Sus scrofa: one gene and its partner. The protein of the gene in region 1 purifies or fractionates together with the protein of each later gene. This does not show direct contact. Links are inferred from orthologs where the notes say so. Each region holds a gene or a part of one and is shown on either strand. Other genes may lie near its edges.

What was found.
Region 2: the proteins of TBL1XR1 (region 1) and BAG2 purify together in Homo sapiens (affinity purification with mass spectrometry; 3 studies listed by BioGRID and IntAct, with this or other methods). This does not show direct contact. The link is inferred for Sus scrofa from reciprocal best matches to the Homo sapiens genes TBL1XR1 and BAG2.

Annotation. Positions count from the first base shown.
Region 1 is NC_010455.5:115,480,430-115,495,735, forward strand, and holds the start of TBL1XR1 (F-box-like/WD repeat-containing protein TBL1XR1), read right to left. Parts: upstream 7,800-15,306; 5' UTR 7,519-7,799; intron 7,241-7,518; exon of another isoform or gene 7,133-7,240; intron 6,869-7,132; exon of another isoform or gene 6,707-6,868; intron 6,687-6,706; exon of another isoform or gene 3,563-6,686; intron 1-3,562. UniProt on the Homo sapiens protein: F-box-like protein involved in the recruitment of the ubiquitin/19S proteasome complex to nuclear receptor-regulated transcription units. Plays an essential role in transcription activation mediated by nuclear receptors.
Region 2 is NC_010449.5:28,671,134-28,686,522, reverse strand, and holds the start of BAG2 (BAG family molecular chaperone regulator 2), read left to right. Parts: upstream 1-6,025; 5' UTR 6,026-6,341; coding exon 6,342-6,454; intron 6,455-6,591; exon of another isoform or gene 6,592-6,729; coding exon of another isoform or gene 6,730-6,740; intron 6,741-15,389. Other genes in the region: E3 SUMO-protein ligase ZNF451, read left to right, coding at 2,387-2,433. UniProt on the Homo sapiens protein: Co-chaperone for HSP70 and HSC70 chaperone proteins. Acts as a nucleotide-exchange factor (NEF) promoting the release of ADP from the HSP70 and HSC70 proteins thereby triggering client/substrate protein release.

The DNA of each region.
Region 1 (15,306 bases):
CACAAATGTATACCGTTTACTAAGGAAGACAGATAAAGGTGATTTAGAGAAAATCCATCACTTTAGTGGTTGAAAATTCTTTAAGTATATAGCATACTACATTTTAAAATAAAAAGGTGTCCAAAGGCATAGCTACGGCTACAAACAGCATCTAAAAATTCACAGAGGAATGATAAATCCTATCCCATAAAAGAATAATTATACAGAAAAAGAAAAAAAAGGTATTAAGGAAATTCATTATCTATTCCCATTACCTTATTTCAGAAACCCAAAGTAGATGACCCAAATGCTTTACACTGTCAGTTAATGACATCTGATAGCGCCAAAACAGAAATGGAACAAAATTAGTATATGCTCTATCCAATTAGTCTGTTCAAATTAAGGAGAAAGCATAAAATACCTCTCCCTAACCCATAAATTGTATTCTACTAGTAGTTGAAGTAACCACCAAAATATACTATTAAGAACTTCTCTGGCAAGGTGATTTCTTACACTAATGTCAAAATTTCCCTATTAGTCTGTGTAAGGCTATAGATTTTCATTCTTTAAAAACTCTAAGCAAATATTCCATAGATTTCTCAAAAAAAAAAATTAGATAACAAACCTCAGAATTTTTACACAGGAATTGACTGTATAAGTATTGGTAGAATGAAAGAACAAACTTTAGGTAGCATTTTATCTGAAACTCCCACACATTTCTACATGCCAAATGAATGACCAATGTTAACTATGGCTTTGTGAAAAATGGCAAAAATTGATTTGCTTAATACTGAATTGATGTTAAAATGCAACGCACCATTCAAGTAGATAAGCAGTAAGAACAAAAACACAAACATCCACTTAATAACCAAGTTACAATGCCTATCATTCAGTGTGCTAAAAAGGACACTATGAGAAATAGAGAAAGAAAGAACACACACACGCACTGGTACCAACTTTGATCTCAGACAAAATGAAAATAAAGATGTAGATTCATATCTAGTTCTTAAAAAGTAAAAATTCTTTACTTTTTGTTATAAAGTAATTAAAAATTTAAAATATCTCCTTTGTTGGAAAAAAAAAGTTTGCACATCCAAAATACAATTTCATATAAAGAAGAATTATTCTATTAAGATACTGGGATGACCATCTCTGACCCTTGTTCTGTTTTTTTTTAATTCTATCTCCTGAAATTTTCAATAGATAAAGAGGAAAACAGGTGGCAGACTCCTTGGTTTAAACATTCAATATCTATAAAGAGGAAAATAAAGACAAATTATTCTATTAAAATACTGGGATGACTATCTCTGACCCATGTTCTGTTTTTTTAAATTCTATCTCCTGAAATTTTCTATAAAGAGGATAACAGGTGGCAAACTCCTTGGTTTAAACATTCAATACCTATCCTTCCCCGTTCATTTTACATAAATACGTTTATTAATCTGGACACTCTTTTTAAGTTTAACTAAAATTTTTGGTCGTTCAGCATGGTCCTCATAGTTCAACTGTATTACTTCTGAGTTAAGAATCTAAGAGCTTACAAGCAGGGAAACATCCAACGCACTTTGTTTGATACTAAAAACCTTTTAAAACTCTGAATATTAAAAATTTCAAGGACATAATACCAAATTAGTTACCTTTAGAATAAATTGCCCAAGTTGTTGGAAACTAATCTGCCACATCTTTACCATAAAAACATACTGAAGAGTGATGGCTACAGGACACTCTTCTGGTAGACTAAACCCACTTATTATTCTGTGTGATAGATGTATGTTTAATATATTCATAGCAATGGCTCAAATGGACTCCAATGCGGTCAGAGCTGAGAGCTAAAAACAATCTTATTTAGACATACTACTGAGAAAATAATGAGCAAAAAAGCGTGAGGATTAAAAAAATAAAATCCAGAATCTTAAGTTTCATAACAACACATAAATAAACACAAGACATGACTTCTAACTGGACTACGTTGTTCACCAGGACTGTGGTGAAATATTAAGAAGATAAAACTAAGCATTTTCACTTCACTCTAAATGTTGACTAGATTTTTTTTCCGTCCTTGTCAACAGTGGCAGCATCGAAATTCAAACAGTTAAATGTGGCTATAGTACAACTAAACTCTGAAGGCCTAATTCAAAAAGAAGCTTCTTCCACATCAAGAGTGAAAGAGGACTGTCACTACTCTCATTTTAGCATGAGCCCTCAAAGAAACAATCCATTTTATCATAAAGATAGTATAATATAAAAGTTAAGAATTCTGTGAAATACTTTAAGGAAAATGGGCCTTTCCTTCAAGAAACTTAACATGTAGTTTAGACAATGTGACGTATACTTAATAAATAATTACAGAATCTGTGCATTCATTAAACGCAATGAATCTCAGAGAAGAAATATCCTGAGTCAGGATGTTCAGAAAAACTTCATGAAAGAAGTAGGATAGAAACTAGGCTATAAAATGGACAAAGGGAAGGAACAGCATGTGCAAAAGCAGAGGAGTAATGAGTGTGGCAAAACTACAGTATTTGATAGGCAGGCAAGAATCCCAGTTGGAGAAGAGTGGGAAATAAAGTTGAATAGGTATTATGGAGCCTTAAAAGCCAGATTTAAAGCATAATAGCTACATCCAGTTGGGAAAGGGAAGCCATTATGGGTTCTCAGACAGGGGAACTAACATGATGAAACCAATATTTTAAATAAATTATACTGTTACTAGTTAGAGAAGAAAGGATGCTCAGGGCAATCTACTAGAAAGTAATGCAATAACCCAGAAAACTCAAACGAGTCCTTAATGCCTTCCTTCACTCACTGGGAAAAGACTGCTAGTTAAGAACACTGGCCTAGAAGGCAGACACACTAGGCCTAAATCCATCCCTACACCCCTTACTATCTGAGCTTTGGTTTCCTCATCATTCATCAGAATACCAGATAATCGGACTGCCACAAGTACTCAATCATGGGCCTGACACAGTGAACTCTAGTAGTAGTTAACATTACTGCTGAATTAAGAATGGTAAAAAAAAAAAAAAAAAAGGGAAGGAAAAATAAGACAAGGCTCACAGATATCTGAGGAACAGAAAGAACCTCCAAGCAAAACTGTCTTGACAGCAGCTGAAAATATAGAACAAGAACACAGATGAAAGGATGAGGAAGGAGAAAACAATAACCTACTTAATCACTCCAATTTAAAAAGCAAATCCTAAGTACTGCCAGACCCAGCCTAGAAAAATAAAATCTCTTTATTTAAAGAGTTCGAAAATGTTTCAAATGGTTCAGATTTTAAAAGTCCAAGCTCAAGTGACAGAATAGCAACAAAGGCACAGAAAAGACCCACTACTGTACTTACACCAACTTGGTAATGTTCCCACTTAGTATTAAAATCCAATCTAATGTTTCAAGTAAGCCTTCAATCACCACTTCAAAAGTAAATAAATTATGCTGATCATGTATCAACTATTTTGCCTAAGAATTCAGGAAATAAAACTGCCAAATACCTTCTTTGACACTATGCCCCTACTTAAATAACAAACAAAATGTAATACAAAAAAGCAAATTTCAACCCAATTTATCAACATTCCAAACTTACATTTCCATGATGCTTGTTTGTCAGCTTCTGTTCTCAGCAATTTACATACACAGTTCTCTTATTCCTCTCAACTCTAGAAGTTGACTGTCCCTTTACACAGAGCAGGAAACTGAGACACAGCGGGTGTTACTCCCCTTGAGTGACAAAACTAGTAAGGGACAGAGCCCAAGTTTGAAACCAAGCAGTTCTCTTCAAGAACCCCTGACAGAATCGATACGCTGCACAAGAAGACTTTTATGAGTTTTCTCCTACAAGTTTTCAGGAACTTTTATTTGCTTTTCCTTAATTGTACGTATGGAACCACATCTTATTTCTGCTGACAGTATGTGGAAAGGCTACAGCACTGCTGTCAATCTTAATGTAGGAAATACAGCAGTTGACCAGAAGATTGCATCTTATTAAGCAGTTCTAGAGTTAAGCCAATGCCATTTGAGCCCCATATATAAATTTCATTTATCCATGCAATCATTTGACCCAGTTGGTAGAGACCCTAACTACAAAATTATAAATTTGAATAAAAAACACTAGTTTTTGCAAGGATAACTGTAGACAAGACTGACAAAACAGCTGAGAAATTTTGGCCCAGTTCAGTCATCTAAAAACATGGACTACGGCTCAGACACACCTAGGTTTGAATCCTAGTGCTCCTTTGATCATTTTGTGGCCTTGGACAAATGAATTAACTTACCTGCACCTTGCTGTTTCAATAATCCACAAAAAGAGCCCAATACTACCCACTTCATAGGATTAGCCTGAGGTAAAAATGACATAGAAAGCACCTCACACCTTTCTTACAGCTGAGCTGAAGCAGAATCCTTTCCTTGGACTCTGTTAACATGGCAATTAATTGTACTCTTAGGGAGTCCATTTCCAGAGGCAGTGAATAGCAAACCTCTCCAGCATGACCTCCTTCACAGGTTGTTCTGTTCTGTTCTCTTTTTTAACTTCAAGTATCTGTTGGTGATAGAGCAGGAGATAGGGCCATGGTGGTCTCCAAATCAGTGAACTACCATTTCTCTACTACACAGCACCCCCCCCCCGGGGGGGGGGTCCTTAGCCCTTCAATACTATGTATATTTATAACTGTCTCAATGTTAGCTGCTTTCTTCTTTTGCATTTCATTGACTTATACTTTAAATGTCATTTATGAAATGAGTCAAATTCTATGTACTAGAAAAATACAAAGTCCCAGACAGTGCCAATATTTTTGCCGTCCTCTCCTCTGACTTCCTTACTAGTCACATTCTTCTCAATTCTTTTTATATAAATAACACAGAAACTGAACAAACCCAACAAATTATTTATACTAACTTCATCAAAATGCATCAAGTCAAAAATTCTTTGTAGTAATAATTGCTGGAGTAAATTGGAGGAGGAGTCCTGTCAGCTACTTATTTGATAAAGTGGTACTTATATTTCACTGCCATATAAAAACCGATTATTCATTCAACAGGTTGCCATTCAAAAGGTCCATCAGTCATATTTCTATTTACCAGTAACCCCTGTGTGTTAAGCTTCTACCCCATCTGCTTGATAGGCCCCCAGTACAGAGGAAGCAGTGATCTCTTGGTAGGAATGTATCACAGTAATCATGACAAATCTTAATTTGATATTGAGATGTTGAGAATACGTAAAAGTTATTAAATATTTAACACTTCTTTGAAGCAACCAATTAAAAAATACAACCTTCAAAAGGGGCCATTCCATTTACCAAGGGTGTCTCCCATATTAATAACCAAAGTTGATATATGCTGGAAGAAAAATCATAAACTGGTGATGAGCTATGAAACAATTTTTATGCCATTAGTAAGTCCCTTAATTAAGTTCCTTAACAATAAAAAAAAAAAAAAACTTTTTTCAATGTGCATACTATTTTCATCCCCCACACAGCTTAGTATTTTGTCCTCTAGGTCTGATTTTAACTACTCAAATGGCAAAAAATAGTAATTATCTATGTATGGACTTAATGGTTATGATTACATATATCACACAGTACATGACAGCAGAAATGGACAAAACATCATATTCCAAAGAAGCAGAAAAACCTGATTTAAGAGCAAAAAGTATAAACAGGAATCACGAGCCTAACCACTCTCAGGCCTATTCTCCTTCTGCTGCCCCTCCTCCACAGGTAAATGCTAACTATTTCTAGAACGTGCTCAATGATAATTTCCGAAACTTGCTTGCCATGAACTCCCACGATACAACCCTACACACTGTTTTCATGGAGACAAAGCTGCCCTATTTCCCTAGACTATAAACTTGTTATAAATGGTGAGAACATACAGTCCCAGTAAGTCAAGATTACAAAAATACACCAAGCAACATGGATCTTATTTAACAAAAATGAAAATAAACCACATTGGGAAAACAAAAAAGTCACCCATTGTACTTCCAATGTGTAACCAAGATATATATTACAATTTCTTTAGGTAAGTAAATGAAAACACCACCAGGGCCTTATATCCGATAAAGGAGTCTTTAAGAAAAACGGGGGAAGGGGGGGTGATTATATGGGGGAGGGGAAATCAAACCATTCCGACTAAAAATAACCCATCATTTCACCCACCATATTTTATTAACAAGCTTGTTTAGATTAGCATAAGGGTCTTGTTTGGAAAACAAGAAAGCCAATAGTCAACTTCCCTCAGTCAACTGTAAAATCACATATGTACTAAAACTCTTCACCTTGGTGCCTGCACAGTACACGGTTTTAAGTAAACTCCGGACACTGAGAAAGAGCAAGTTTTAAACTAGGTTCCAACACTTTTGTAAATTTTAATCACCAAATTATTTTCGACAATGTTATTAGATAACCTAAAAACGGGAGGGTTTTTTAAGAGCCATTACAACCAAAATTTCACGTGAAACACCATTTTCACAAACCTAAATTTATTCTCGGTTGCCACTGCAAAGTGATGCCTGTTTGAGCAAATTAGGAACTTCCAAAAATACTGAACACGTTAACACATGCATGGCTTCCCTTGAACTGCCATTTCAGATTAATATTTCACTTAAATAAAAGTCTGTTTCTGTTCAAAAAATGACATCGGTTGCAAAGAGGAAGTTACCAAGAAACCACCCTCACAACGTGGCCTTTACACTGTCAGAAAATAATGTGACTCTGAGCCACCCAAAACTTACCAGGAAGCTGGCAATAACTTTGCCAATTCTACACTTCTGAACCCAACTTCAAAGTGGCTCTATCAAATATCTTCTCCAGACGATAAAAAGCACTAAGTTACAAACAAACACGTCCAGGAGTGCGGCCCCGCCGCCGCGCGCCCCTCCCCCGCCCGCGCCCCCGCCCGGGACGCACGGCCCTAACAGCCACCCGCAGCCCCCCGCACGCCGGCCGGGGTCGCCGCGCCTGGGCCCGGGCCGCGCCGGGGGAGGGGAGCGGATTTCCATTGCTGCCTAAGGTTTAACAAAATAACACGCACAGTAGAGATCCCTCTCCCCTGCTAAAAATAGGCTATAAAGGAGTCGGCCTCATGATGGCTCCTTGATTCAATTTGCTGCACATTCCTTCCTGAAAGCCTCCCCCTATACAACACACACACACACACACACACACACACACACACACTCACACACAAAGGGGGTGTAAACGGATGAAGGGTGGAAGATGGGGAGAAGGCCGAGGTGCACATTTTCGGGGACAACAGCATAATAAGGGTGAGGATCCCCCGGGACCAGGAAAGGGTAGGGGGTGGGCAGGCACGTGAGCATTTCAAAGAAGCCTGAGAGAGCTAAAAGGGGGGATGGGGCACCCTAAATGCCTTTCCTTTCTCTCCCTCCCCCACCAAACCCCCAGCTCCCCGAAGGGCCAAGTTGAAAATGCACGTTCCACTTGAGCCCATCCCCCCGCCGGCCGGCGCCCCCGAACTACCTCCGCCCGCGCCCCCCGCCCCGGCCCGCAGCCCCCACCCCGGGGTCCGGCCCCCGGCGCTTACCTGGAAACGGTGGCCTCCGACGCGCTCCCCCCTCCCGGGAATGGAGGCACAAGGAAATTCCCCTCGTCGCCGCCGCCGCCGCCTCCAACCACCCCCAAAATAACCCCTCCGGGGGGTGAGAGGCAATTATAACCCCGGCAAGCGGAGGGCGCGGGGGATGGGCGCCGGGCGGGCGGGGGCGGGGAGCGCGGCGCGGGTCCCCAGGTGGCGAGCGGAGGTGCTCCCGCCGCGGGGGGAGGGGCGGGGGCGCACGCGGCCGGCGGCGGGGGGAGGCGGCGCGCGGGGGAAGGGCGCGAGCGGGGAGAGGAATTGAGGCAGAAGGTAAAAGCTGTTACTAAGGGAAAGAGCCAAACGGTTCGGAGCAGCCAACGGCTCAGACACTCAACACTGGGGAGAGAGGAATGGGGACCAGCCAGGCACAAATGAGCTCGCGAGGCCCGCGGCGGCGGCGGCGGCGGCGGCGGCGGCGGCCGCGCAGCAAAACAAACCCGAGCGGCCTGCGCCGGGCGGGCGCGCGGGGAGGGGCCGGCGGGGGAGGGGCGCCGCGGACGCGGGGAGGCGGTGGCGGCGCGGCTAGGGGGGCCTCTGCTGGCCCCGCTCCTCTCCCCGCCCGCCCGGGGCGGTGGCGCTGGGGGGGCTGGGCGGGTTCGGCGCAGCCTTTTAAAAAGAAAGAAAGACCCGCAGGCGCCCCGAGGCGCCACCGGGCCCGGACCGCCCCGCCCCCACCGCGGCGCGCGGCCGGGTGCGGAGAGGCCTGGGTGTTGGCCGCGCGGCTCAAGGCCCTGTGGGGGCGGGGATGCTCGCGCCGTCGCGAGGGGGGCATTGCTGGTAAACTTTCCTGGGTAGGCCGGCGTGGCCCCCGGGCACCCGGACGGCGCGGTGCGGCAGGTGGGCCATAACGCACGCAGGGAGCGTGTGCGGAGAGTACGGCGCAGGCATCATATGGACATGTGTTTGTGAGAAGATCTGCACGCACCTTTGTGTGCATAAATACATATGTTTCTCGGAAGCGTACCTGGAAAGGTGCTTTATCTGTAATAAGCGATTCTCAAAATGTAATCCAGAGCACAGGAACTGTACAGAAAACACGCACACAAGAAAAGGGTTTTGATACTAAACACAAAGCTGTAATTGAAGTGTTTATGCCCAAATGTACAGTGAATTAAACATATGGTGGTATTTATCGTCTGGTGGGTCTGTTTGAAAGGTTTGGTCGATCAATTCGCTTTTCACAAAAATAAAATAATGTAACTAAATGTTTACTAAATACATACTTCTAAGGCAGCATCGGCAGTACAAGTTTATCCACTTTGTGTACTTTTGCATGTGTGTAGCATATCAAGGCGGTTTATACAGTGTAACTTAGATGAGTGATGATGTGACAATATGAGAAAGGGAATGCAAGGGGTTATTTAAAAAAAGGGAAGCAAGCCACATTTTTTTTTTTAAACAAATGCGTTTATCTTTCTAAAGTCCTCAAAATCAGGGCTTGGGGTCTTCTAAGACCTTTGTATGAGCCTAGTGTATAACAAGCAGCTTACTCTTAAGATTAGGCCTAGAAGAAACCTTTTTATTGTTACTTTCGGTTATTCCTGTCTTTAAAGTAAAATAACATTTTCACAGCCTTTTTAGGTGAGGTGTTCTGTTTTCGTACTTTAATCACAATATTTGGAAATTGGTGTAGTCATTATTTTAAAGCAATAGTCTTTTTCTCTCAGTATCAGAGACCTAAATTTTCATACTTAAAAAAAAAGTTCATTCCAAGTAACTTTTACACATCTGGACTCTGGGTGGCCTAATAAGCTCAGTGATGAGACAGGTGTTTTTTTTTTGAGCAAAGTCAAAGGCTCCTGCCCCTGATGAGCCCTTTTTTTTTTTTTTTTTTTTTTTTTTTTTTTTTTTTTTTTTTTTTTTTTTTTTGATGAGCCCTTGAAAGAGGGTGGGGAGAAGCCAGAGGCCCTTTCAAGCCATGTATTGGGATGGTGGGGTGGCAAGGAAAATCATCAGAGGAAAGGGAGTGAGATTGGAAACCTCCTCCCAAGCACCAGAAAGAGAGTTCAAAGCATCTTGGTGGTTTGTCCTTAGAGCTGTTTTCATATTTGAAAGAGGGAATGTCAGATTAAACAATGTCACCTGATGGGAATTTAGATAACTGCAGGTTTCCAAAACACTGTTGAGTGTTCAGGGAAACAGCACAAAGAGGGTGAGTCTTACCTTTCAGTAAGATTCTAAAGCTCAGGCTTATTTACTGCAGAACTAGCACCTTTTCAAAGACTTTCCAGAACCAATAAAACATTGTATCTTCCTTCAATATATTTAAGCACTGATTAATTACATATGTAAGTCACTAAGCATAATCCTCTTCAATTAGTAAGCTATCTCAGTAAAACTAAGGTTCATTATCTGAGCCACACAATGAAACAAATGTATTGGCTTAGCTCATTTTTAAAGATTAACACTGTGTCACCATGGTGGGTCCTGTCCAGGCAGCAAACACTATAAAATCAAACCACTCATCCAGGGTGTGAGGATTTACCAACTACACTGATTCTTAATATGGTAATCTCCAAATCTGGGGCCCCAGACTTAGTTTCCCTCAAAATGACCTTATTCCTTCCCTTCCCAAAGGAGAGCCCATCCTCTCTCCAGTTCATAGGGCCCAGGGCTTCTAGTCTGAAATTCTTATACCCTACTCCATGCTGCCTTCTTTCATAACAGAAATTCCTAAATTGTTATTATCGCAATTATAATAATAATGCATGAATTTGTTTACCTCCTTGTAATTTATAAGGTATTTCTGTGCATAAATGACTTGATTTGCATATCATGATAAGAGTCATCAGGAGTTCCCATGGTGGCTCAGTGGTTAACGAATCCAACTAGGAACCATGAGCTTGCAGGTTCAATCCCTGGCCTTGCTCAGTGGGTTAAGGATCCAGCGTTGTGGTGAGCTGTGGTATAGATCGCAGATGTGGTTCTGGCGTAGGCTGGCTGCTACAGCTCCGATTGGACCCCTAGCCTGGGAACCTCCATTTGCCACGGGTGAGGCCCTAGAAAAGACAAAAAGACCAAAAAAAGAAAAAAAAAAAAGTCATCAAAAGTGGGCACCTGTGCCATAAACTTCTTCCAGTAAAGTACAGCAAAGGAGTTTTAAAGAAGGCCATATTTTGATCACTTCCATTTCTATATTCCAGAACCTATCCGACCTTGTGGCTTCAACATGAAATACTCAGATAAATGAGCTGCCATACAAAGGTCACATGTATCGTTACCCTACCCTCTAGTCATACAGTATACCAGATCAGAGGTCTCACCAAAATGCGAGCAATAGTTAGACACAAGAATGAGGTAAGGACAAAGAAGTAACTATTGTTACTAGTTTGTAGTACTTTGTCCTAATCTAAAAGCTGTCCTTATTCTTTGAATATAAAACATTTGAATATAAATGTTTCTAGAAAGGAGAAATTACTCTCTTACTGAAAAATTTTAAAGCAAAGAGGCACATCATTAAGAAATTTCTCTTCAACTTTCTAGCTAATTACTCAACAAAAACTTCATATCAGTAACTGTTAGCAGAATTTATATGTGTATTATAAAATGACTAAACAAATCTTAACTTGTTTTAAATATTTCAGCAATATTACACTTGGGGGTGTGGTATGGCAAGATAGCCTACACCTTTACAACTTTCATCATTCAGGAAATAGGACATTTTTAAATTAAGGTGGTTTAATTCCAGACCAACAGGATCTTATTACTGTATTTTTAAAGCCACCATGTTTTAAGATGTTTACATTAGCTGATCTATGTAATTAAAATATTCAAAACAAATGTAATAGCATGAAAAATATATTTTGATACCAAAAATATTATCCTGGCACCGTAACTCTTTTTTGTATTCTTACTCACCCAGGAATTCAGTGGCTTTATGTCTGCAGCATTTACCCCCAAGCATCTTGCTAGTACCCTGTGATATGTTTCTGTTTCATTTTGACTTAATTTGTGCAATTCTTTGTCTGTAGTTTTTCCAGCTATCAGTTTTTGCCATCCACACAGATGCACATCTTAGCCACACATCTCCAGAGCTCAGCACACAAGCTCCTTTTCTCCATCTGTGCTTAGCATGTGATGTGTGACCTTTCCTCATAAGTGTGAACCTTGCCACAGTTTTCCATGACTCTGTGACCTGATTTCATTACAACAATGAACTTTACTTGTGAGTCTTCATTTAAATTACAAAAGCAACACACAACCATCTTACAAGTATTATGCCTCTCAGATAATGAAAATAGCAGGTTGTATCCTGCCTTTGTGATTAGTCAGAATAGAAAACCAACCACACACAGAGCACATTGCTGTACCAATCACTTACTTATACTGATCAGCCATGTGCTTCCTCAGAGCAGTGTTCAAGGCTTCGCACTATGTTGATGATTTTGCTATTCATTCATTCAACAAACATTTATTGAAAGCTTAGTGTGCCAGGCACCATTCAAGAAGCTGTTTAAAGGAGTTCCCATCATGGCTCAGCAGTAATGAACCCAATTAGTACCCCTGAGGATGTGAGTTCAATCCCTGGCGCTCAGTGGATTAAGGATCCCACGTTGCCATGAGCAGCGGTAAGCTGTGATATAGGCCACAGACACAGCTTGGATCCCCTGCTGCTGTGGCTGTGATGTAGGCAGGCAGCTGCCCCTCTGATTGGACCCCTAGACTGGGAACTTCCATATGCCATGGATGTGGCCATAAAAAGACAAAAAGAAAAAAAAAAGAAGCTGTATACAGTAAACCAAATCAAGCCCCTACTCTCACAGAATCTACATTCCAGGTCAATCCTTAAATGTATTGTCCCTGGGGGTTGGGAGGGCAGATGGACTTTCAAAAAATATGTATGTATTAGGCTAAAGTTTGATTTCTGAAAAGAAGACAATATTTAAAAAAAAAAAAAAAAAGCCTTAAACAATGTAAAAGTTATTCTCTTACATGGCCATTCAAATTTGTAAGCATTCCAGAACTGATAAGGGATCAAGGACACAGATTGTTCTAGCAGCTCAATGCGTAACTTATACATGGTGGTCTAAGATGCTTTTCTAGCTCCTGCCATCACATTCAGGTTCCAGCCACTGGGCCAGAAAGGAGGTGAAATAGAGGACTTAGGTCTTCTCTTTCAGGACTTGAACTGGTAGTTTACTTAACACTTCCACTCATATTCAATTGGCCAGAATTTGGGCATATGACCATACCAAGCTGCTAGCAAGTCAGGTAAATGACAGGTGCCAAGCTTAAGTGAAATAAGGTGGGGAGAGTTTGGGCATGTATATTATTTTAAATAGGGCTTTTAGAAGAGGCTGCTCAGCTAAAGTGACCCACAGCAGGAAAATGAAGTGGCAGGATGAATGGGCAAATTTTGGAAGAAGGAATATTTCAAGCAGAGGGAATATCAAGTATAAAAGAACTGAGACCAATACAAGGGTGCTATATTCTAGAAATAAAAGTTGACGGGCACAAAGCCAGCCAAGGAATGGCAGAAGAGGGATCCAGGGGCTGTGAAGGCCTTTTTCTTCTAATGAGATGGAAAGCCATTGGAAGGCTTTGAGTGGAGAAGTGATTTGACCCGACTTCTGTTTTATTATGCAAAGTATCAAGTGCAATAGTGCAACAGTGGTAAGGAGACAACTAGTCAGGGGCTAGTGCAGAAATCCCAAAGAGAGGATGGCAGCATGAGGGATGGTGGCAGGAGCTGGTTAACAGAAGCTATACTCTGTGTACATTTTTTTTCTTTGTTAAGGCTGTACCTGCATATATGGAAGTTCCCGGGGCTAGGGGTCAAGTCAGAGCTATAGCTGCTGGCCTATGCCATAGCCACAGCAACACCAGACCTGAGCCACACCTGTGACCTGCGCTGCAGCTTGGAGCAATGACAGATCCTTAACCCACTGATGGAGGCCTGTATCCTTATGGACACTCTGCTGGATTCTTAACCCACTGAGCCACAATGAGAACTCCACTCTGTGTACATTTTATGTAAGGATTGGGAAATATATTTCTGGCATGTGAGAGAAACAGAAGTCAAAGATGATTCTAAGATTTTAAACCAAACAAGTGGAAGAATGGAATGGCCATTTATTGAAATGGGAAAGTTTGAGAGAGGAGAACGTTTATGAGAGAAAAATTAAGAGTTTTGTTTTAGGGTTTGATGTGACTATCCGACATTCACATGAAGATGTCAAATAGGAAACCCAATATACAAATCTTGTGTTCAGAGAAGGTATCAGACCTGATATAATGTTGGGTCTCATTAGTTAAGTAAGGATATTTGAAATCATAGGTCTGGATACAATTGGCTGGAGAGTGAGCGTAGATAAAGAAGAGTTCTCTATTACCTTCTACTGTCTCCTGTCTCAGATGTCCTCCCTGCTCTTGATGGGCTCAGGGAAGTCCAAATAAATTTTGTGATAGGTGGATATCAGGTAACATTCTATCTGTACAAGGACATGATGGAGGTAACCACAGATCATATTAATGGCTACCATTTACTGAAGGTCATTGCTTGTTACCAAGCACTCTTGTCTTTGCTATCCCTAATTTTCTCAAAACTTGGAGAGGTAAATAATATTGCTATCTCAGTTTGACTCATGAGTTAACTAAAGTATCAAGCCTAAATTGCTGCTTTAAGTTCATTTGGAAAATGGCAAAATGAGAATTTGCACTCAAGGTGTCTGATTGCTGTGTCTGCTTTTCCACTGAGTGAAACTGAGCAGGTCAAGGTGAGAAAGTGCAAGTGTTTGCTGCAAAGTCCTTTCATGAATGGAGAAGAGAGAAATGCAAAGTGGAAAAAAGGGGCAACTGCTTGAGAGAAGGAACCACATCTTAATAACATTTATACGACCCACATTTTCTAGATCAGAATCTTGAAAAATGTTATTGAATGCAGTGGTTACAATCAAGCAACTGGATTCACTGGGCTGCACTTCTTTGATGCTAGCAGTGCATCCACACAAGGAAGAGAGGATTACACAAGGAAGACCTTTGTCCCACTCTCCCTACCACTCACTGTCACCTCCCCTTCCCCCTACATGGCAATCAGGGTGTGGAGTATTCTTGAAGACAGGTTTTGTGGGCAAAAAAAGCAATATACAGTAATTCATTCAGTTTCAGTTATTACAAATTTGAAAACCTAGTTTTCCTTTAAGCTTTCAATTTCGAGTTCTATATATGTCTCTCTTTAAGTGAATGTTTACAATTTTGTTAATTAAATTCCTATGAATTATTAAACTGCATTTCTACATTTAATGTATTCAATCTTCTTTTTAAAATACTTCACTGCTCAACAAACAAAAGAATCACAAGTAATGCTCATAAATATGATTACAAAATATGATGAATCTTAAGTTCTTTCGATTATTACAAAAATACAAATTTAATAAAATTCTCATATCTTTTTCACTTGAAATCAGAAATCTAAGTCAATTACACAGCTCATGTAGGTGGTTTAAATTGGCATCACAAGGGAAGTTCCCATCATGGCTCAGCTGTAACAAACCCACTAGTATCCGTGAGGACTTGGGTCAATCTCTGGCCGCCCTCGGTAGGTTAAGGATCCAGCATTTCTGTGGGCTGTGGTGTAGGTCACATGTGCAGCTTGGATCCCACGTTGCTGTGGCTGAGGTATAGCTGGCAGCTGCAGCTCCAGTTTGACCCCCTAGCCTAGGAACTTCCATACACCCTAAAAAGACAAAAAAAAAAAAAAAAAAATTGGCATCACAAGGATAACCTGTTAGGCATTCT
Region 2 (15,389 bases), on another chromosome or scaffold:
TAACCCTGTGCAGTTCACTTCTTTCAGTGATTAACTTCTCTCCTTTTTCTGCATGATGTTTGTTGCTCTTCAGTGCCTCATTCCTTTTTCCAGTTACTGCCCCTTCATTCCTTCCCAAAGGTTAGTGACCATGGTCAGGTCTTGAAACACTAGTTTAGTAGCACTTGCTATTGAACTTGGTCTAAATGGGATCATGTAGACCATTCAGTAGAATTTTCTGTGATGATGAATATGTTCTATTTCTATACTAATATGGTTGCCAAGAGTCATGCATGGCCATTAAGCATCTGAAATCTGGTTTAACTGAGGAACCGACTCCTCTAAGTTTTATTTTATTTTTTTATCTTTTTAGGGCCACACCTGCAGTGTATGAAGCTTCCAAGGCTAGAGGTCGAATTGGAGCTATAGCTGCCAGCCTACACCACATCCACAGCAGTGTGGGATTCCGAGCCACATATGCAACCTACACCATAGCTCACGGCAACGCCGGATCCTTAACCCACTGAGTGAGGCCAGGGATCGAACCTTCGTCCTCATGGATGCATGTCAGATTTGTTTCTGCTGAGCCATGAATTCTTTTGGGTCTGGATGCCTTCAGTCAACACTGTTTTACAGATTCATCTGATTGTTAGCACATGGCTTTGGTTTCCAGGACCTGTATAATCATTTTACATACACACCACAGTTTATTCATTGTTTATAGACATTCGGTTGGCTGCTACAAGTGGTGCTGCTGGGAGCAGTTTCACACATCTCTTGGTGCACATCTGTCCATGCTTCGCGGGATACATACTGAGGCATTGACTTGCTTATGTTCACTTTAGGTGGTTATATGTGGTTATGTGGTGTAGGTTGCATATGTGGTTTATTTTTTCCAAGGTGGTTGTTCCCATTTCTTTCACTCCATTAGTAGATAGGAGTTCCCATTGATTTACATCTTTTGTAGAATTATTGGTCTTTTTAAAAAAAAATTTTGGAGTTCCCTTGTGGCTCCATGCTAACAAACATGATTGGCATCCATGGGGATGCACGTTTGATCCCTGGTCTTGCTTACTGGGTTGGGGATCCTGCATTGCCATGAGCTTCGGTATGGGTCATGGACAAGGCTTGGATCTGGTGTGGCTGTGGTGCAGGCTGGTGGCTGTAGCTCCAATTTGACCCCTAGCCTGGGAATTTTCATATGCCAAGAGTGCAGTCCTAAAATGCAGTAAAAAAAACAAAAACAACAACAAAACCCAACATTCCTCACCATTCTGCAGTGTTGCCTTTGTTATCAGCCAAGATTCCATATAAGCATGGGTCTGTTTCCTGAGTCATATATGCTGTTCTCTTGGTGTCTTCATCTATTCTTGCACTGGTACCACATTCTTAGTTATTGTAACTTTATAATAAGTTTTCATAAAAATAAATCTTGTCACCTTTTTCTTCTTTGCAAAGAGCATCTTGACTTTTTAGTGTATTTCTTCATCCCTTTGAATTCATCTTAGGGCAACTCACTGACCTAAATCTAGCTTTAACTAACACAGTGTGTAGTAGCTTGTGATATTTTAAATTGCAGACTATACCACACTAGTGCCCAGCTCAGAGGAAGGTGTAGCTGTATCTTAGAGGAATTATTGGCACCAGTGAACCATGCAGGCTCTGGGTGACTGTGGACAGGATGGGATGAGATAAATCTGGGGTGAGAAGCTAGCGAAGACCAATAGATGGACACCTAGCTCCACCTTCTTGGACATCATCATTCTCAGGAGAGGGAAAGAAGGTTTTAGGAACCCAGGAATGTCTGTCTTGCTCACTGTTGTATGCCTGTGCCTGGCATACAGTGGGTGTTCAGTAAATATTTGTTCAGTGAATGCATGTGTCTATAATAAATCCTTCTCAGAAGACATGATACAGCCATGAGTTTCACCCTTTGCCTTAGATACCAGAAAAGCTTTATGAAAACTGAATTTTTAAACTGCCTTTGAGATTTTGTCATTTCATGGTTTTGCCTTTTTATTTCTATAGTCTTATGTGATTGCCTTGAGTCTTTTTGAAAATACATAGTTGGGTGTTTTTGTTTTTTTGGTTTTTTTTTTTTTTTTTTTTCATGATCAATCTAGTGATTACCTGTCAGTGATTATGGAAGTTTGTTGACTTTCTGTATCCCTAAATGGAAATAATTTACAAGTTTCCTAGCATAGTAGGCTCATACATATTAGAATTCAGTTTGCGATTATATCCAGCTTCCCTTATTTCAGAAGAGTCAGAAGAAACTGCTAAGTTATCCTCAGTTTCTCCAATTTGTATTTCCTCTCCTTCCTGAAAATATTCGTTGATGATGCTTACATAAAGCATATCTTTATTTGGTTTCTGCTCTAAATATTAAACTTCTCTTTCAATGCAGATGTGGAATTAGAAGAAGCAATTAGAAGAAGTCTTGAGGAGATGTAATTAAAGATATTACCACACAACATCAAGTGGCCTTGAAGAGACTCAGGATAATGAATTTTTGAGTTTTCTAAAGGAGACTAGAAATCTACTAGTGCAGATGTATTTGAAAACACGCTTTTTTTGCTTTCATATGTTCAAAATATGATATTGCTTTGTATTTTTGTGCTACTTTGCAAAAATGTATAGAGGAATAGAATACATGTTCATGCAAATACAAATCATGTGTTCTAAAACAGGTGTCACCGTTTCCCAGTTAATGTTGAAGTCATATATTTAGGTTAAAGGAATTAAAAAAAAGAAAAGAAAAGCTCTTGACTATTGTTTACATGTTTCCCAAATAGAGTTTGTTTTTTAATTTTATTTGTACTGTACAGATAATTCTAGCTTATTTTTTTAGGAGTGAAAATGAATATAAATAAAGCTGCCATAGCTCACTTTTTCTGTAAAGCCTACGTCTGATGTGGCACTAATACCTAATGCCTTTGAGATCTTCGATTATGATTATTGGAAGAGAGTGATGGAAGTGACCGTGGAAACATGAAGTTCCCCAGCAGTGTTCTCTGTGGGTGTCAGACGGGCAGTCCTGCTTTAATTAGAGCAGCACATCGCTGGGATGTAGAAAAGGAACACCTCATTTCTTAGAAAGTATTAAAAAGAAACTTCTCCATTCCCTTTACCTGCTTAGACTTTTATGTGACTTGTCTTATCTCCTATTTAAAGGGAACGATGTAAAAATATTTGCATAGAATTAGACTTATTTTTAATAATATTGGTCCTTTTATATGTATATTTGTGTAATCATAGTATTCTTCAGATAATAATGTTGAAGGTCTGCTCAGGAGTAATCTTCCTTTACCCTTTAAAATTTCTGTTTCATATGGAAGTATCTTCATTTTAGTTATTCATTAAATTGTCAGTTTCCTACAGCTGGTATCACATACTTAATTTGCAAGTGTTGAGTTCCCACTGTGCTAATAACAATATTCCATAATTAGATGACTCAGAAGGGGCTTGTCATACTATCTTGTGCATATGTTTCATGTTACTTGAACAGAAATGTCATCTCTAAAGATTTCGAGTTAGTAATTACTTACCAAATGTAAAATTTTCTCTAAGTATAAATTTTTCTTTAAGAAAAAAAAATCGGGGCTAGAACTTTGTTTTTTCTCTACAACTAGATAATTTAGTGTGAAATACTGTTACTGTTTTTTCGGTTCACATTGGAAACCAATTTGTTTGTATTTCTTAAGATGTCAGTTCTAGTTCCCTGGTGGCTCAGTAGGTTAAGGATCTGGTGTTGTCACTGCTGTAGCTCGGGTTCAGTCCCTGGCCCCAGAATTCCACCCCACCCTGCCCCGATGTCTGTCCTACCTCCTTGAAGTTTTTTTAAAAGTAGACATCATAGCTTGAGAATGTACCAGTCATTCTTCCAGAGCGACCACATTGTGGTTTTGTTTGTTAAAGGACTTAAGCAAGGCTTTGGGAGGGAATCGCTGGGCCACACCTTGAGGACATCTGCAGGAGCGCACTCAGTAGTGAGCCTCAGAAAGGATGTCTAGCAAGAAGATGCTCCGGCAGATGCCGCAGAGCAGTATCACAGCAGCAGGCGGGATGCAGCCCGTGTTCTGGTAGGAGGCTTCTGAGGTGTGAATGGTTGAGAGGAACTGAGGCTTTTTCTATGACAGGAGTGGACTGTTTCACCATGACCCTTAAAATACGGTAATTGGGTTGTTTAACGTTTTAATTAAGAATAGTCACTGACTGTATAATCTACTTACTAAGCAATTAAAAATCATTTTAAAATTACTTCATACTTTGTACTTAATTTAGCTATAAGGAGGAGAGGTAGTTGGTAGATGTTACAAAAAGTTTTGTGCATTATTATCAAGAGTAAATGTTGCTAACATTGACAGTGATGCTTATATTTTGGGTTTTTTTCCCACATTTTATTGTGATTCCCTTTTTTTCTTTTAAAAATGTTTTTATTGTGATTCCTTCTTTTTATACCTGAATAACAACTTCCCCAAAGGGATGATGGACATGTTTATTCTAAGAAGGATATATAGATAATGTATTGGTAGCATCTGCTCAGTGGTATCATTGATTCTCTTAAATAAAAATTCCTCAGTTAAGAAGGTGGGGTTTTTTTTTTGGATCCTTGGTGTCCTACCAGCCCAGCCCTTTGTCCTATTTCTTACCCGCCTGCTGGCCTGGCTCTCCTCTCTGACATCGCTGGGGAACAAGACACGGGTTTGTTCTGGGCTCCCTTGGCAAGTGCAGCTCTGATACTCAGCAGGCTGGGGCTCAATTTAAAGAGCATCATTTTTTTCTTTTCAATTTCTTTCAAATCATTTATTTGTTCACCCACTCACAAAGTATTCTTGGCTACTTACCATGTGTTCGCCACTGTTCTCGGCACTTGAGATCCCCCCCCAACACACACACACACAAAGCCCCCACTCTGGAGCACTCGGGGAGGGGGTTGGATAGAACCTCGAATGATAAGATAGTGAAACAGGGAAGGGGGGAGAGCATGGGGCTGGGCAGGGGGAGGCAGTTATTTCCAACAGGGTGGTCGGGAAGGACCCTGACCAGGTGAAGCTCAGGAGACCTGAAGGTGGGCGAGCTCTAGGAAGAGGGTGAAAAGGTCTAGAAGAGCAGGATGAGCTCAGAGGGCAATGCAAGGTGGCATCCTTAGAGACCTTTTCTGAAGACCCTGGAAAGGAGGAGCCCTGAAGGTTTCTGAGAGTAAGTGGTGTGACCTGCTGTACTTGGACTGCTGTGGGGCTGTGTTGAGTGCAAACAGCTGAGAGCAGAAGCAGGGGTGCAAGTGGGAGGGCAGGCCACTGGTCCAGGAGGGAAGGCAGGCTGGGTGCACCCTGAAGGGGAGGGGACTGGGTCTCTGGCATGAGAGTCCAGGGTGATGCTGAAGTCACCTGATAGACTTCCATTCTCCAAAAGTGGAAGGATTCTTTGTTCGTGTCATGATATGAGAGAATATACTTAATGATGTCAAATATTCCCCTCCAGCAACAATTCATCGACATGGAGTCTAAGTTCAGAAAAATTGCCATCCAGCCTTAAGGGCTTCATCTCTGTTCACTTATTTACATGGCTTTGATCTCAGATTAAAGGTTGTGATCCAGCTTTAAAGTGTTATTATCTCCACTTGAAGTGCCCTGTACCTTCTCATTCTTGCAGCGTGAAGCAGCGAGCTCCCCACAACATTCACTCCACTTGTACTGACCTTCATGGTGTCTGACCTCGTGGCCTACGGCATCTTTTCCTAACAGGAGATTTAAATAAGTTGGGTGTGAAAGGGTCTTAACCATTTCACTTAAATTCCAGCAAATAACTTTTGAACAGAAGAAAGTCATTGAAAATAAAGGAAGTTCACCTTCCTACGTCCCGCTGGGTGGTAAGAGGGGCGCCTTTTCTCGCGCGCTCTATTAGCCTCGTTCTCATCTCCGGAGAGGGCCTGGTGGCCAGGCAGGTCGGGCGACACGGCCCCGGCGGCCCGGCTCTGCGCGCGGGAGGCGGGAGGGCGGGCTGGGCTGGGCCGGGCCGGGCCGGGGGCGCGGGCTCCGCCCTGGGGGCGGTGTTCCAGGCGAAGAGCGGGCCCGACGCCACGTGAGCCGCCCCGCAGGCCGCCCGGCTTCCTCCTACCGCCCGCGCGCGGTCAGCCAGCGCCCCGCGCCCCTGGGTTCCCCTGGCGTCTGGAGCCCCGGTTCCCTGGCCCCCAGTCGTCCGGACCCCAGTCCTTGCTCGACCACCCGCGCCCCCCGACCCCCAGTCCCCTGGCCCCCAGTCCCCACCCAGACCGCGGATCCCCAGCCCGGGCGCGGGCGGCGCGTCAGAGAGAGGCGTGCGGCGCGGTGACGGCGGTGACCTCGGGCCTCCGGGCGCAGATGGCTCAGGCGAGGATCAGCGCCAAGGCCAACGAGGGCCGCTTCTGCCGCTCCTCGTCCATGGCCGACCGCTCCAGCCGCCTGCTGGAGAGCCTGGACCAGCTGGAGCTCAGGTGTGCGGGGCGGCGGGCGGATCCGGGCGCGGTCGGACCCCGGCCCTGGGGCACTCGCTAGCCTGTCCGTCCGGCGGTCCCTTGGCCCCGCGTCCCGGCGGCCGCGCTCTTGCCTGCGCGGGAGCGGGGGAAGCCGAGGAGGTGAAGGGTAGGGACGCCGCTGGCGGTTGGGGCTGGGCTGACACCGCGGGTCCGCGGAGCTTCCAGAACCTTCTGCACGCCAGGGGTTCGGTCGGGTCTCCCTGAGATGCTCTTTCTGAACGGGTGGCGGTCTAATGGTCCCAAGGTCAGTGATCCATTCTTTTGCTTCCAACACTTAAGAGCAATATCTCAGAATAAAGCTTCGGGGCCCCATCGGATCCCAAGGCGGGGCGGGGCGAGGGCACTTGTGGGGCGCCCGCCCGGTCCCCTCTGCGTTTTTCCCGGCGCCGGGCTCCCCCCACCAAGAGCCGCTCCCACCTTCCAAGTGCAGTTTGCTGGCCCGAAACCACAGGGGTCACCTGTTTCCACTCTTAGCTGATTCAGGTTTTAATAAGGAATCAACGTGTGGCTTGAAATAAAGCCGCGTGAGGGGGCCCGAGCTGCGCTGTTGGGGGGCGTGCTGAGCACCTGGGGGTGTGGGGGGGCCTCTAGCGCCGCCCCGGCCCCACGGAGGGGACTTGAGGGCGGGGTAGATGGGCGAGCGCACGTTTTGATAGAAGGTCGCTGCTGGTCGGGAGAGCAGATGTGTCCTCAATGGTTTTAGTGCTTTTCTGCGTGTGGGAAGATGCAAGAATCTGGGTTCATTAAATTTTCCTGAAAATCTCTCTCTGTGGGCCTGTTCCGCCAGTTTTCCCAGAGCGCAGAGCCTCCTCATTCCTGCTCGTCTGAATTCTTTCCAGGCTGTGCTGTCAGTTCCTGTAGAACCGGGTGGCCAGGGACTCTCCTAGCGGCAGATGGGGTGGTAGGCTCCTTGGGATGCCTAAAGCCTATGCAAGAAGTTTTGGACCTACTTTTCTCTTTCCACAATGTATGAAAACGTTGATGTACTTCTCGTAAAGGTTCAGGTCACAAAAGCTACTGTATAAATTGTGTGCAAGTGTAGTTTTATGAAAATCTTAACTGGGGCACCCACAACTCCCTTAAACCTCCGCATTTTTTTCCATAGTTTGCACCAGGTTCTGGATGAGCAAAGGAGTAGGTAAGGTAGACATTTCAAGAATTGCCTTTACCTCCCTTGATTAATACACCAAAACGGGAGGGGTCTTATGACTCATAAAGTACACTAATAACCAAATGAGGCATTTCTTCATTATTTATCATGATTAACTGAATGAGGCATTTATTATTTATCAATTAGCATTAAGCAAGTGAGGCCTATATTAATCATTTTAAAATTTAGTATTTATCATTTGAAATTTGTTATTGATGATGATGGCAAGAAACAATGTCTTCTCGGAAAATAAATTCAGAATGTATACCTGTATGTGTGATTGGGTCATCTTGCTGTACAGTAGAAAATTGACGGAACACTGTAAACCAGCTATAATGGAAGAAATATCATTATAAATGAAAAAAAAAAAAAGAAAATAAATTCTCCACCATCATGATTTTGTGGGTAGTAATGGAAACCAGAACCCAGACTGGTTCTGGGGTCCTGCTGGGAATGACACAGATGGAATAAGGGGAGAGCAGTGCTTCCCGTGGCTGGACCTGCTGAAGCCAGTGCTCCTGAATGTCGTGTGTTGTCCCCTTTCCAACCCCCGCCCCGGCAGACTGCCTTTTCTTTTTTCATCGCATCGCAAAGGGGTCTTGTCATCTTCCCGGGCTTTAGAACTTGGAGGGGCATGTTCTCAACCATTTCTGGGGTCTCCCCACCCCCACACCCCATCAGAAAGGAAGGGTTTCTTCTTCAGGGACCGTGGGGGATGTTGCCCCCGCCTCCTTCTTCAAGCTTGAGTGGTGGTCCTCAGACTTGAACTAGTGCCTCACGTACGAAAGCAGCCAAGTGCTCGTCTTTACCAGGAAGGCTTTGGTTTTGAATATTGTGTTCCAGCGATTGATGTGAAGCGAATTCTGATTACTGAGTACAAGCAATTAAATTGTATTTTGCCGAATTAACTCTTGAACTGAGGAGGAAAGGCTGATTAATGTGTGTCTAGTTGTTCATTTTAAGGACCTTCCCAGTAATTGTAGACTTTTGCGAGCTTTATTTCTTGCTTTTAGAAAAAGTAACGCTGAGTGAAAACTTAGGAAGCATTTGGGAAGGTGGGTAAAAACAGGAGTTTTTGAAACCATGTGAGCCATGGAGAGTGGAGTGCACTCTCAGAACCTAGAATCCTACCTAGAAGATCAAGTGGAAGAAGAATGCATGATTTTCCCAGGTCATTTTCTCTAATGGTTTAATTTCATATGAAGGATGACTAATAAGGAGTTCCCGTTGTGGCTCAGTACCCATGAGGATGTGGGTTCGATCCTCGGCCTTGGTCAGGAGGTTAAGGATACGGCCTTGCCGCAAGCTTTGGCTGGGGCGTAGGCCAGCAGCTGCAGCTCCCACTCATCCCTAGCCCAGGAATGTCCAAATGCCACAGGTGTGGCCCTTAAAAAAAAAGGATGACTAAACAGCATACTAGCTAGAGAGGAAATTACAGGTTGTACGTGGAAACTCGCTTTTACTGGCTTTGTCAGTTGTGGCAAAAACTGCTTCCGTCTGAAGCTAAAAAACAGATTTGTGCTAAATGCTCTAGGACCTGGTGTGTGAACTGGTGCCCGCGACGTCTGAGAAGCTTTAAGATGTTGGCAGCATTCTACAGACCAGTCAAGAATTTCCCTGGATTTCTAACACTTCTCCACACCGCTAGCCTTTCTTTTTTGACTCTAGCTCACCTCCTTTTTCGCTTCCTCCTAAAAAGGTGATGCCTTTCTCTCCGGGTTTTCATGACCAGTTCAGCTGGTGCCTGATTTTCCATTCGTCAGTGGCCCAAAACATGTTTCTTACGATTGTCACTGTTTTAGCAGCTACCGTGATTTATAAATACTGCACACTAACAGCTAGTTAGTGAATGACATGACCATGCAGGGCCCTGCCTTTGTGGAATTTACCATCCCCTCCATTCTGCATGTGGAAAAGTGAGGCTTGAGAGCTTAAATGACTTGTCCAAGGTCACACAGCTGGAATCCGGGAGACTGATATCTTCTGCCTGAATTTTCTTAGAGTTAAGTGTGTCGTATTTCAGGATGTAGGAAGAGTATGTGGATGAATGTATGATTTTACAGAAGGAGGTGAACTTTCCACTTAGACTGGTGTTTGGATGAATGAATATTGAACTGTGCCAGGGGTCAAGTGGCCCCTAAAGGTTCTGGAGGGTAACAGGTGTTTGGACGTGGGGTGTGTGGACACAGCAGAGGGGAAAAGGAACTGGCTGGGAGACCAGCTGTTCACAGATTTCCCCAAAGGGCTCCTAGCATGGCTCCTCCCCCGCCTGCCAGCCACTTGCAGTGGCTTCCGTGGCAGCCAGGGAGTAAAGGATCGGCGAGGGGGGGCACAGCTGAAAGTTTCCTGTCACGGTTCCGTGTGTGGCGTCCCAGGGGTCACAAAGCAAGCTGGCGCCATAGTTAGCATCTCTAAGAGCCTGTAATTAAAAAGATCCCTTGTCATAGACACTGTCATCTGAACCTTCCAGAACCCTTTGAGGCAGGAGAAGGACACCTATTATCTCTTTTAGGAGCCGGGGGATCCGGTCCAGGGGGATTGGAGGCCAGTCTGAGGCCACCCCACTAACAAGCCGCTCCTAATGCTAAACCCTGGTCCCATTTTTACCCCCCAGTGTCTCAGCCGCGAGTGTAATGCATTGTTTTGGTGATGACTCGGACGCCCTTCAGAAGCTGCACTTTGCCTGAAACGTACATGATCCTTGTAGCCTTCCTTGATACAAGAGTAAGAATAAGGTGGTCTAGCGGTTAAGGATCCCAGCCTTGTCACTGCTGTGGCACAGGTTCAGTCCTTGGCTTGGGAACTTCCTTGTGCCACAGGCTCAGCCAAAAACCCTCAGGAGTATTGAATAAGAAACAGGACTATGATTTCAAGAATTGTTTTAGAAATAATCATCTTTGAAAAAAGTCTGTTTACCATTTCTCCTCCTCCACTTTTTTGGGGGGGGGGTTGGGGGTGTCACCTGTGGAAGTTCCCAGGCCAGGGGTCGAATCAGAGCTGCAGCTGCTGGCCTACACCACAGCCACAGCAACACTGGATCCTTAACCCACTGAGTGGGGCCAGTGGTCAAACCCTAATCCTCATGGATACGAGTTGGGTTCTTAACCCACTGAGCCATGATGGGAACTCCCACCATTTCCCCTCCTTTTGATGAAAGCACAAATTCTTGCCATTTGGAAGCCCAAGTTCGTAGTGGTAAGTGTGTCATAAAAACCAGGAAGCTAGTGTTTGCGGCCTCAGCTCTGGGCACTTGATGCTGACAGTGGCCCCCATGGACCAGAATCCACGGATGCTCAAATCTGTAGAAAATGGTGTAGCAGTTGGTGCTCTGCATCCGTAAGTTCTGCATCCGAGTTACTCATAAATACATTTTTAGTTGATGCTTTCGGTCACTGCGTTAAACTCCACCTGCTTCACTCCATTCGGTCACAACCACTGTCACATGATCCGTATAGTGAAAGTGAGGAAGTTGAGGCAAAGAGAAACTACCCAAGGTCACCCAGCTAGTAGGTGGCAGCAGCACTGTCCTGAGTGGCAGGACTGAGGCCCTTGCGGTCCCTGCACTTGTGACCAGCCTGTGCAGTCAGTCACCTCCCAGCTCCTCCTCTCTCTGGTCCCCAGGCTGTGGGGACCCAGCGGTCCGCGCCGTGCACTTTTGTCCTAGGGACATTCTGACCATGGCCTGTCTTTGTTAAAGTTTAGTCCTGATTCCATGCGGAGAGTGTTCCAGGAGCACAGCCCAGGCCGCCCTTGGAGCGAGGATCAGTTCTTTCCCAATTTGGACATGCAGCTCTTCCAGGATCTGCTCATAAAAACAGAACCACCCTTCTCCGCCAAGAGCAGCGCTGTCAAGTGAGGTGTTGAGAACGTGAAGGGTAAAGAGAGGCAGTCTCACCCTTGTCTGAGCAGAGTTCCAGAAGACATAGCAGAGTGGCAAGTGGGAAATATTTGAAGATATATATTGGCTAACAATTTTCTAGAACTAATGGGAGGGACAAAAAGATGTATGTATGAGTTGATTTCGGAATACCAGTAGCTGATGAACAGTACAACTAGCACCCAAGCAAACTAAGTAGAGATGTAGGATTGACTTTTTTTAAAAAAAATAAAACCTTCATCCTGTGAATAGTCCATCCACTAGACCAGGGTAGGACTGACTGCCTGGGGCAGGGGAAGGAGGAAGTTGCTTAGGAAACAGTTCCTGCCAGAAGGATTGGGTTTTGAAAAAGGATCACCCAGGAGGCCTGGGTAGGGGAAGAGGGATGTCGCAGGACGAGGGGGCAGCAGAGGAAAGGGCCGTGATGCCAAAAGCTCTGGGAATCTTTGCATCGGGAAGGATGGCGTTTTACTGTTGCTGTGAGATGAAAAGGGTTTACACAAAATCATACATGAGAAGTCCTTTAGGACTTCCCATCGTGGCTCAGTGGCTAACCAACCCGACTAGGAACCATGAGGTTGTGGGTTTGATCCCTGGCCTCGCTCAAAGGGTTAAGGGTCTGGCATTGCCGTGAGCTGTGGTGTAGGTTGCAGACGCGGCTCGGATCCTGCATTGCCATGGCCCTGGCACAGGCCAGCAGCTACAGCTCCGACTGGACCCCTGGCCTGGGAACTGCCATATGCTGCGGGTGCGGCCCTAAAAAGACAAAAAAAAAAAAAGGAGAAGAAGAAGAAGTCCTTTACAAGATAGAAATCTGTGTGTTATGGAGAAAATGCCCTGGCAATTTCTAGCCATATGGGGGGAAAAAGTAAAACTTAAAAATTCCATCTCATTTCCTCTACATTTGGTCTCATTTAATGACAAAACATCTTCTGTGACAGATTTTTATATTTTTGTCTAAAGCGTCTCTTTTCAAACCACTTTCTTGTTAACAACCCATGAGCTTCGTGTTGAAACTTACGCTCATAAATGGGCCTCCTTCTGTAGAGTAACTCTCAGTTCTCTCTTTATCATCCTACATGTGCATACAGGCTCAGGAGGGCTGGAAAATTCATCTCTTCTGTCGGCATCTTCTCATTTACCAATCAAGTAATTCTTTGGTGCCATTGAAATGCTGGAGTCATGTTTTGTTTTTCATGAATGTCTCATTTTTGGTGCCAAGCTGACCCTTTTGGTGTGTGCCAGGCTCTAGAGTATGTGCCTGAGGTTCCCTAGGTTATATTAGAAGATTCCAGTTTCTATTCCCTAGTGTGTATTAAAGGGCACGAGTCTGTAATGAATGGGCTGGAACACAGCCTCATGCTGCGCTCTTACTGTTTGATAGACTATTGGTTTTGATTGCATTTTCCAGCTAAATTTGTCACATAAGATTCTTCCTCGCTCTTTGCTCCTGCTGGCTCTTATAAACACAGAGTCCAGCGTATATTTAGTATCTTGATGAATTCAGACCCTGTGACTACCGTCTGTCTGTCGGTGCTATTTCGGGGGACAACAGGTGGGTGCCCATTGGGAAGAAGGCCTGCGTGTGGCTGGTGGGGAAGGGCCATCCGTATATGGCCTGTGCTCACACTGCCTGGTGGTTCCTTCTGCGCCCACGGAGGGCACGGTCGGGATGAGGTCTGTGATCTTGTGCTTCCAAGGCCGCCTGAGTGTTGGAGCTACATCTGTCACTATTTATTTTGCAAAAGTCAGCAACTTGTTTAGTTGTGGTGTAATATATGTAAGAAAATGCCCTGGAAACAGAGCACCTTAAACACACAGGATTTTGTTTTCTTCTCCCCTGATTCCACAACCTGGTTCTTTAGTGACTGGCTGAGTCCGTAGTCGGTGCCTGTGTAGGGTTGGGGGAAGTGGTGCTTTGATAGTTTGATTAGGGCATCGTACCCAAAACCCACAGAGGCATTCTCTTTAAATTCGGAGAAGGCAAACATGCCCTTGCTCATCACCATCGTTTGGGCTTTTTTTCTTTTTCTTTTTTGGCCGCCCCAGGGCATGTGGATTCCCAGGCCAGGGATCAGATCCGAGCTGCAGCTGCAACCAATGCCACAGCTCAGCAACACTGGATCCTTAACCCACCGTGCTGGCCATTGTTTGATATTATATAGGAGGGCTTTGGTCAGTACTATGAGAAAGAAAAATAGGAGCTAAGAGGATTAAAAAGGCACAGATAAGGATTATCGTTTTTGCAGATGATATATATGATCATCCATCTAGAAGAACCAATGGAATCAAAAATCAAACCATTAAGTGAATAAGTGTTAAGGTGGCAGCTACAACATGAACTACAAAAACAGCATTTTTTTTTCCAACCAGCAATAGCCAACTAGAAAATGCAGTATATAGAAATGTATTATTCCCAATACCAACACTATCCAAAGTATCAAAACACTTAAAAGAGTCTGTACAACTACCATCAGTACTTCAGGGAGTTCCCGTTGTGGCTCAGGGGAAACAAATCCAACTAGGATCCTTGAGGTTTGATCCCTGGCCTTACTCAGTGGGTTAAGGATCCAGCATTGCTGTGCTTTGTGGTGTAAGTCGAAGATGCGGCTCAGATCTGGCGTGGCTGTGGCCGTGGTGTAGGCCTGCAGCTGCAGCTCCTATCTGACCCCTAGCCTGGGAACCTCCATGTGCCTCGGGTGCGGCCCTAAAAAGAAAAAGCAAAGGGTGTTGGTATAACAACAGGCACAGTGCCGAAAGATGGAATAGAGACTTCAGAGGCAGACAATCTACAAATCATTGAGGGAAAGATGGATTTGGGGATGGATAACGTTGGAGAAAATGGTTCACTATATGGAGAAAAAGAAACACATCTCCCCTAGCCACACACACAAGGTGGATTCTAGGTGGATTAGGACATAAGCATGGAAAGGTGAAGTCAGACGTTAGTAGACGGGGGTGCAGGAAAGCGTCTCAGGACCTGGGGAGGGGAGGGCCCTGCAGCAAAACTTCCCGATATGAGCCGTGAGGTAAAACCAAACCAAGCAGAGATGGACCTGACCCCTTCAGAACAAGGCCTTCTGCTCCATGAAGGACGCCCAGACACACTTCACAGGGGACAGGATGGGAGAAGGTGGTTGCAGGGCCTGTCACCAACAGGGCATTAACGCCTTGAGTGTGCACATGGCAGGGGGACAGTAACCCCAGTGTGCAAAAAGAAAAAGCAAGATAGGCAAAGGCTGCGAACAGCCTCACAAGGATACGGAGAGATGTCCAAAGTGATGAGTAATGAAAGAAGGGCAGATTAAGTACTGACGCAGCACCTACTACACTGACAGCAGAAGGTTAGAAAGTTGGGAAATGCTGAGCTTTGATAGGGCTGTGGGGACCCAGGGGCTTTCTGGAGAACAATCCAGAATGGAGCTGCATGAAGGGTCCGCACACCCTGCGAGGAAGCCGCCCTGCCCTGGGATGGTGCCTGTTATCAGGGCCCCGAGAGGACAGGTTGTCATTGACCTGTTACTGGAGGTGACGAAAAACTGGCGCCGAGGTACATCTCTACTGGGTCGGGGAGGTCAGGTCAGGTGGGGACACAAGGTGGCATTTTATGCGAGACCTAGGAGCTCCTGATTACACGTACTCGGAGGAACCTGGTGCTTCGTCATAAAATACACTGCGTGAGGGCAGAAACAGTGAGATATAAATAAGTTGAAAATAGGCGAGCACACAAGTATTCCGTTTTTTTGTAGAGCAAATACAAATAAATAAACGCTAAACAGAACTATTGCCCAGTGAGTGGGGAGGAAAATGGGAGCAGCAGGGCAAGTGGATTAAAAAGAAAACTTAAAAGCACAGAAAACAAGGAA